Linked DNA regions of Xenopus tropicalis. The protein of the gene in region 1 purifies or fractionates together with the protein of each later gene. This does not show direct contact. Links are inferred from orthologs where the notes say so. Each region holds a gene or a part of one and is shown on either strand. Other genes may lie near its edges.

What was found.
Region 2: the proteins of dvl1 (region 1) and axin1 purify together in Homo sapiens (affinity purification with western blotting; 3 studies listed by BioGRID). This does not show direct contact. The link is inferred for Xenopus tropicalis from reciprocal best matches to the Homo sapiens genes DVL1 and AXIN1.

Annotation. Positions count from the first base shown.
Region 1 is NC_030683.2:93,063,421-93,067,824, reverse strand, and holds the start of dvl1 (segment polarity protein dishevelled homolog DVL-1), read right to left. Parts: upstream 2,951-4,404; 5' UTR 2,811-2,950; coding exon 2,641-2,810; intron 1-2,640. UniProt on the Homo sapiens protein: Participates in Wnt signaling by binding to the cytoplasmic C-terminus of frizzled family members and transducing the Wnt signal to down-stream effectors. Plays a role both in canonical and non-canonical Wnt signaling.
Region 2 is NC_030685.2:15,101,798-15,106,109, reverse strand, and holds the start of axin1 (axin-1), read left to right. Parts: upstream 1-1,322; 5' UTR 1,323-1,613; intron 1,614-4,312. UniProt on the Homo sapiens protein: Component of the beta-catenin destruction complex required for regulating CTNNB1 levels through phosphorylation and ubiquitination, and modulating Wnt-signaling.

The DNA.
Region 1 (4,404 bases):
AACATGAGGAAACTGAGCGCCGGTCATACCTCCCCTTTTAGACAACACCAACTACACCCTACACACCATTCCCCAAGCACAAAACACAGTGGGATGAAAAGGCTGAGCAGCAATTATGCTAAATAAACCACAACTTGAACACTGCATATTCCATAAGCCATGTCTGGTGTAACTGTAGCAGCAGTTATACTACTTTCAAATAAGAACCAAGACCGACCCAAATTTCTCTCTTTTAAAACCCCCTTCTAAATACCCCAAAAAAACCATTGGTGCCCCCACGCAGCACCATTTTTGTCTAGCCTACACCATTGTTACAAAGGACAGGGAAGCAAACATGGCTGCTTAATTGGGACAGAAAGTAATGCCTAAATTGTGGTTCTGTTACCAAACCCTTTTAATCCCCTGCAAAAATGGGAATAATCCACACCTAATCTGACCTGCCAAAAAGATGGAGGGGGTCAGCTGTCACCTTGTTCTACTCCCACATTCATTGGATCTCTGGATATATTCCTCTGCCACTGTGGGTTGAATTTTTTGAGTGTTTTAAGAAGGTTTTTTTTTAAAGGCTTTCATTTGTTTTCACTTTTTTTTATTTTATTAGATATTTCCACCTGCTCAGATATTTACTCAATACAACACATTTTAAGGGATTAATTTTTAAACCAAATAATAATACAAAAAGAGTCACATTTCTTTATACATGTGATAGCACAGTAATGGCACTCAGCTCTCCACTGAGTACAATTAATACAATTAAATGGTCAGATAATCCACCTGTATGTGTGAATACAATAGTGCTGCCCAGGTGTTCAGCTTTCTCAGGAAAGGACACATAAGAGGCTCAATACCACCTAAAATATATGAAAACTACAATTATCCATCTCTCTTTCTCTCAGTATGTCCATACGGAAGCTGCTTTACTGGTTTTACGATTGTATGTTTTCTGCTTTCCTACCTTCCCTTACCTTGGGAGGAGAACTACAATATAACTGCAGGCACAGAAAGGGTGTAAGCTGACATATCTGCTCCCTGCGTCATATATACTTTCTCAGTGCTTCCCCACCCAGAGTTTGCAGACTGTTCGGCCAGCCCAAAAGGAATGTAGGAGGAAAGTGATGACTTCCAGAAAATGACAACAAAGTGCTTTAATGTGAATTTGCTGGGAAAAAACTAAATATCCATTACTTTCCCGCACAGAGGTGGTAGGCAGTTATCTGTAAGTACAGTGTAGAGGCAGCCACATGACTGCTGGCTGGCAAGAGCTGTTATAATACTGCATCTATAACTGGGCTAATACAAGTATATTTTCACCTGTATATGTGTGTCCCTGCCACCTGTCCCTCTGCTTAGATATATGTTTGCCAAGGCTTGCATTCTCCTCTGCCCTGTCACAGTATCAGCTAATATTGTACCGCCATGTTTGTCATGGTCATGGAGCCCTCATACATCTGTTCTCATGTCAAATTCAGCCATCCCTCTTCATACCCCCAAGTTTATACATCCCAAGTCATCAAGCTGATGTAGTATGGGGGTGGTGTGGACATACTACATCTTCTTTTTACTTTATAAAAGGGCTGAAAATTGGCAGACTACCCTAAACCAGCTGACAATAACTAAGAGAAAAAAGAGCCAAGGATGACGACAGACCCCCTATGGGGATACAGGAGGGGTATGAAGGGGCTGCCCTTGTTGGAAACTTCACTAATGTCTTTCCCCTCCCTTCACCTTGGGTGATGTGGCAAATGAACTGTCCCACATGCCAGGGCAATAGCAACAGCACTTAGAACATTAGGTCTCCTCATACTGCAGCAGTACCTACTAGATGGCATAGCTGCCAGCATTCTATTTTATTCACAGACACAACCTGTATAATTGCCAATGACTGACAGCTGCTCACTGAGAGGTTCTGCAGCAGATAAACACTTGCCAGCATGATCAACAAATTCGTGCCATATTGCTAAATAATATGGGTTATGACAATTCTGCAATCTGACAACCCTCCCCCCTTATTGTGACATTCACCCTGCACAGAAAAATGACAGTAAAAAGCCTTTGAAGCAGTGACATTGGGAGGATTAAATCCCCGTTTTTTTAATATGTTATCTCCGTGTCTGTGAGGGTTTTCTCCGGGGTCTCTGGTGTCTTCCCACACTTCAAACACATACAGGCAGGTTAACTGATTCCTGATGAAATAGACTATAGTGCTTGTGTATGTGATAGGGACCTTAGATTGTAAGCCCCACTGGGGCAGGGACTGATGTGAATGATTTATAATCTCTGCAAAGCACACATATGTCAGTGCTTCATAAATACAGGGTAATAAATATTACAGTATATTATCTAGCATTGTAATGCTCCTCTCGCCTTACACAGTGTCACGCCAAATGGCTTGCAGCATGCCATTCTACATACACACCCAGGGCAAGCTGCACAGATCTACAAACATGAATAGATTGCATTCTGCACCCAGCACAACAAGACTGACGGGCACTAACCATTCCCACTACAAGAAGGTCTCTCTCCTTAGCAGCCCAGGTAGCTGAATGGCACAGGTTGGCACAATATGACAGCAATGCAAGCAGATTATGGCACAGACATATCATATACTCTCATGCTTCCCAGAGAGGAGAGGGAGCTTACCCAAAATCCTGGTCCATGGACTTAAAGAAGAATTTGTAATGATGCACAGGTCTGTTGCTGAGGACATTTTTAAAATCTGCTAAGGTCACTTTCTCAGGAGGAACAGGCAGTTTCACCAGATAAGGGGTTTCTTCTTCATCTATATGGTAGATGATTCTGGTTTCAGCCATGAGCAGAGAAATAGCAAGGGGGCTATACCCCCCAAAATGGCAATGCCCTCTCCTTTAAATTAAATCTGAATCATACGTAGATCCATATGTGAAGTCTCTCCTCTGTCAGTCACTCAATTTGCTCTCACAATGCACTGCTCCATGGATCCTCTAAACAGGAAGGGAAATGCAGAATCCTGATCTTGCAAGGTACTGGGAAATGGCTGAGTTGCTGGGCATTCTGCTCCCTGCACTGCCCTCTACAGGCTGATCGCGGAAATACAAACCCTGAAAGACCAGTATTTTTCCAGGCTCTGTTATATTCCAGACGCAGTTGAGCTGTTTCATTTGTACAAAGTAAATATTGTATATTACCCGCAGAAAACCATTTGCCCTTGTGTGGACAGTTTGGACAGATATGAATGCAATATAAAAAAAGCCAAATGCCTTATTTAGGGCAAATACTAACTACAAACATAAGAGTTGCAGCAATAGAAGTGTGAATTGTACAAAGAATTCAGTTTGAAATCAATACAATTGTAATATATGAACATAGTAGAAGGCATTAAATAGTTTCATGACCATATCAACAGTGGTGAGTAATAATAGCCAGTGCTGCTCTAACTATGCCCCTTTAGCCACTCAGTCTCAGTGGTGCAGATGTAATACAATGTGGTGAGCAGGGCAGTCTGGGGCCATAAATATCTATATTTAGATATAAATCTTTTACTAGTCTGGGGAATCTGAATCTAGTTTTGCACAACCACCCCTCTGCAGTTTTTGTAGGGGAAATATTTCTAAAATGACTGTTAATGACTTTAATGACTTTTAAATTATTTAAAATTTATTGTGAAATGTAATAGATATGTATAAATCTCTTACTATCACCTACTCCTTCTAACTGGTCTCCCATCAATCTATCTTAAACTCTGCTGCTAGGATCCTCCTGCTTTCTCCTAAGAGGGAACCTGTTCAGCCCAAGTAATGTCTGTAGCATAGCTGCCTGTTAAGCTAAGGATAGCATACAAAATCCTTTTGCTAACATTCAAATCCCTTCACTCCTCTGCTCCTCACTATATTTCTTCACTTGTCTCCCTGCATGTTCCTGGTCATCTCCTCTGCTCTTCTCAGAGCAGCCACCTTTTTACACCATAAACAATCCTCTATCTCACTGCACCTTACCCCTGGAACACTATCCCTGAAGCCCCATAAATCAAAAACATTATTTTGTCTAACCCTGCACTTAAGGACCAATGCCCATACCTTGTGTACTTTTGCTCCCCAATTTGTGCCTGTATGTTACCCAACCACTTAGACTGTAAGCTCTATAGGGCAGGGACCTCCTTCCTACTGTGCATCATAACACATGGAACTTAATCTCTGTGCATTTATACTTATTTATTGTATTTATTATAATACTTGTCCTCCTTGTGTGAAATTCTGTATGTTGTAAGATTGTACAGTACTGCTTATACTTGTAGCGCTTTATTAATAAAGTTATACACACATAAACACACAACTGCCAGCTTCCTATTTGTTGTACATTCTGTATGTAAATTATAAAAGTACACATGCCAAAGTTACACCAGGATATATGTCAAATTCATATACTCTA
Region 2 (4,312 bases), on another chromosome or scaffold:
GAAAGTCACCCATAGGGCTCAATGGCACTCTGCAGCTCCAACCTGGCCCAAGGAAAGCCTCCCATAGGGCTCAATGGCACTCTGCAGCTCCAACCCGACCCAAGGAAAGTCTCCCATAGGGCTCAATGGCACTCTGCAGCTCCAACCTGGCCCAAGGAAAGTCTCCCATAGGGCTCAATGGCACTCTGCAGCTCCAACCTGGCCCAAGGACAGTCTCCCATAGGGCTCAATGGCACTCTGCAGCTCCAACCCGGCCCAAGGAAAGCCTCCCATAGGGCTCAATGGCACTCTGCAGCTCCAACCCGGCCCAAGGAAAGTCTCCCATAGGGCTCAATGGCACTCTGCAGCTCCAACCCGGCCCAAGGAAAGTCTCCCATAGGGCTCAATGGCACTCTGCAGCTCCAACCCGGCCCAAGGAAAGTCTCCCATAGGGCTCAATGGCACTCTGCAGCTCCAACCCGGCCCAAGGAAAGTCTCCCATAGGGCTCAATGGCACTCTGCAGCTCCAACCCGGCCCAAGGAAAGTCTCCCATAGGGCTCAATGGCACTCTTTCCTTGGGCCGGGTTGGAGCTGCAGAGTGCCATTGAGTCCTATGGGAGACTTTCCTTGGGCCGGGTTGGAGCTGCAGAGTGCCATTGAGCCCTATGGGAGACTTTCCTTGGGCCGGGTTGGAGCTGCAGAGTGCCATTGAGCCCTATGGGAGACTTTCCTTGGGCCGGGTTGGAGCTGCAGAGTGCCATTAAGCCCTATGGGAGGCTTCCAAAATCATGCACAGAAGGTTTCAAAGTTAGAAAGGTTTTCGCGCCATTTACGATCATTCGGACCGTACCACAATATTTACGTATGACCACGATACAAATTTTTCGCGTTTTTAACGCACATCATAAATTATCGGATTTAATACGAATTTTTTTCTATTGAAGTCCAGAATTCGGACTTCGATAGACGGGCCCCAAAGCGTGATTGTTACTTTAGTTGCCTCAATATTCCCACCAATAGAAGGCTGGGAGACATTACCTACATTAAAAACCACAACTCCCAGCCCCCCCCTGGCAGCCATTGGCTAGCTTTGGAATACTAGGACATACACTACAGGACCACAATTCACCCCATAACCAGAGTAGTTCTTGTGGGAGCTACAGCCCAAAAGCTTCCTCACCAACTCTTACCATCCCTCCTCAGAGAACCCTCCCACACTGGGGCCCTAGGGCCCATGGCTGCCCTACATATACTATTCCCACCTCACAGACACCCCATATTAGAGCCGGGGAGCGCATCCCTGAGGTAAAAAGCGGAGAGCTGCTTGGAGTCACATGACTGCGCGTACCAGCGGGGCGGGAAAAATCGCGAGAAGCTGCGGGGCCGCGCATGTGAGGCGCGGGCACGCCAATGCGCACTCCCGCGGGTGCCGTGCACGGTGTTTCTCTCACACACTCACTCACTGTGTATCGCACTGTCCGGGGCATGGCCGCATCCCGGCGCTCTGCGCTCTCCTGTTTCCCGAGTATCCCTGCGCGGTGGCGGCTCCAGCTGGAAGCTTGATGGGTGGCTGCGGAGCGGAGGGAGAGGGCCCGGAACGGCTGGGCACAAGAGCCGGCTCAGGGCTGCCTGGGTGAGGAGCAAGGCCACACGGCTCTCTGTCTGTCTGTGTGTGTGTGAGAGGAACGGGGGGAGGAAACTTTCCAGGAGAGGCGGACGGATCCAGTTTGTAGGCCAGGCCCCGGCTTTGCCAGTACCGCTGGGCCGCATCTTACTGGGAAGCCCCGTACCCTGGCCCGTCTATAGGCATGCATGGGAACCCTGTGGCCCTGTACGTGGCTGTGGTAATAGAGTCCATCACAGGTTGCTCTGCTGCCCTTATTCCCAACATTGGGGCTCTGAATGCTTTGCTTTTCTGCTAGAGCATGCTGGGAAATGTAGTCCCAGGGATGAACATCACCAGACACTGAATGACTACATCTCTGGGCTCAGAGGGGTTACTGGGAGTTTTAATTCAGCATCATCCACAGGGCTGTATGGGGGATATCTGTCAGCTTTACTGGGGCTTTACTACATCCTTACTATATCTGGGGGGGGGGGACTATTTTGCAGGGATCCCATCATTAATGGGGGGGAGACAACTTATCTACGTGATAAGCTGTTAGTGGGGTGATGGGAGTTGTTTCACTGGCAAATGCACTGTGGCTGCAAACGATGGAGAATCCACAGCAGTGCGGTATTAGGGTGAAGACACACGGAGCTACTAGTAGCAGCTACTTGTCACGGCTACTATTATAGACAATGCTGATCATTTACTGATAATTGTCTCTACGTGTGTTTTAGCAGAGGCAATTCTCTGTATTGTCTATGGCAGGGGATTTTCTAGAGTTTAGTAGCCATGAAAAAGTAGCTGCTACTAGTAGCTCAGTGTGTCTTCACCCTAAGGGTAAAGACACACGGAGCTACTAGTAGCAGCTACTTGTCACGGCTACAAAAATAGACAATGCTGATCATTTACTGATAATTGTCTCTACGTGTGTTTTAACAGAGGCAATTCTCAGTATTGTCAGGGTATTTTCTGGTGTTTTGCAGCCATGACAAGAAGCTGCTACTAAGTAGCTCCATGTGTCTTCACCCTTAGGGTGAAGACACAGAACTACTAGTAGCTGCCACTGCCATAGACAGTGGTTTTGAAGTTATGTGTAAATGTAATTGGTATGGAAAAACGCTGCCTGGATGTTTGTATTCTCTGCACTGCTGGCTCTGACTTCTGCATAGCGGGGTGATGGGAGTTGTTTCACTAGCAAATGCACTGTGGCTACAAACGCTGGAGAATCAGCAGCAGTGCAGTATTAGGGTGAAGACACACGGAGCTACTAGTAGCAGCTACTTGTCATGGCTACAAAAATAAACAATGCTGATCATTTACTGATAATTGTCTCTGCGTGTGTTTTAGCAGAGGCAATTCTTAGTATTGTCAGGGTGTTTTCTGGTGTTTTGCAGCCATGACAAGAAGCTGCTACTAAGTAGCTCCATGTGTCTTCACCCTTAGGTAGCTGCCACTGCCATAGACAATACTGAGAATTGTCTTCTAAAACACACATAGAGACAATTATCAGTAAATTATCAGCATTGTCTATTTTAGTTGCTGCTACTAGTAGCTCTGAGTGTCTTGACCATTAAATCGATCATGGTGGGAATTGTATTCTGTGGGTTGTCCGGCAGTTTCACCATGGGTGGGAATTGTAGTTCAGCAAGGTGTTTATTGACCATTGCTCACTGTGTTCCATCACCTACCTTGGGCTTCTCACCCTTAAGGAAACAGGGGGGCTGCTGTGGCAATACCCGCAGGGCCACAGGTTGCTCATTGCTGCTGTAGGGACTAAGCCAGTTTATGTGTGGGTTGGGGGTATGATTGGCTTTATAGTTTTCGTTACAACTGCAGTTTTATGTAAGAAATGCTAAGGTACCGTGGGAGTGTGGGGTATTGTCAGTTCATGCATTAGCACTTTCCATGGTGCCCAATATATATTGGGGGCAGAAGTTCTCCGCATTCTGTGCATGTCAGAATCTGAATGCCGTAGCCAGACGCCTTGGGGGTGTGGGGGACCCTGTTTCTTGTGTTCCTACCTGCCTACCTGATCCATCGGCACCCAGTGCTTGGTATATTACTGATATATACTGATCATTTGCAAATAATCCTGCAAGGCTGTGTGCCCACTCCTGACTTATTATATCTGCTTTTGGTCTGACCAAAGAAATCTATCCTCATTGTTGGGGGGGAAATGTCTATTTATAAAAAAAAAAAAAGTGAATATATGTGTAATGTGATGTGTGTAAAAAAGAAAATATATATGTATAGTATATATCAAATTGGAATTAGAACTCTCAGGACCAGCAACTTCTTTGTTATATAATATTTGTATTTTTGACACATTATACAGAAGTCTTATAGTTATCAAGGAGAGATAGATATTTAAAATATATTTTCGTTGTAACTGACATGTAACTGTAAGCAGTATATACATTCATAAATGTCATTGGTTTTGAAGTTATGTGTAAATGTAATTGGTATGGAAAAACGCTGCCTGGGTGTTTGTATTCTCTGCACTGCTGGCTCTGACTTCTGAATCAGTATAGCAGAAACTATCGAGAGCAGAACTAACTTGTTTCAGGAGTCGGAACCAGAGAAAAGGAATGCAGACACATGTAGCTGGCTAGAAAGAGGATTTTTACACTGTGTGTGTGGCGAGTTAGTCTATTATAGCCCCCACTGGAAACAGTAAAAGGGATTGCCGGGCAGAAGGTGATGTCGCCTAGTGGTGCTGAGGA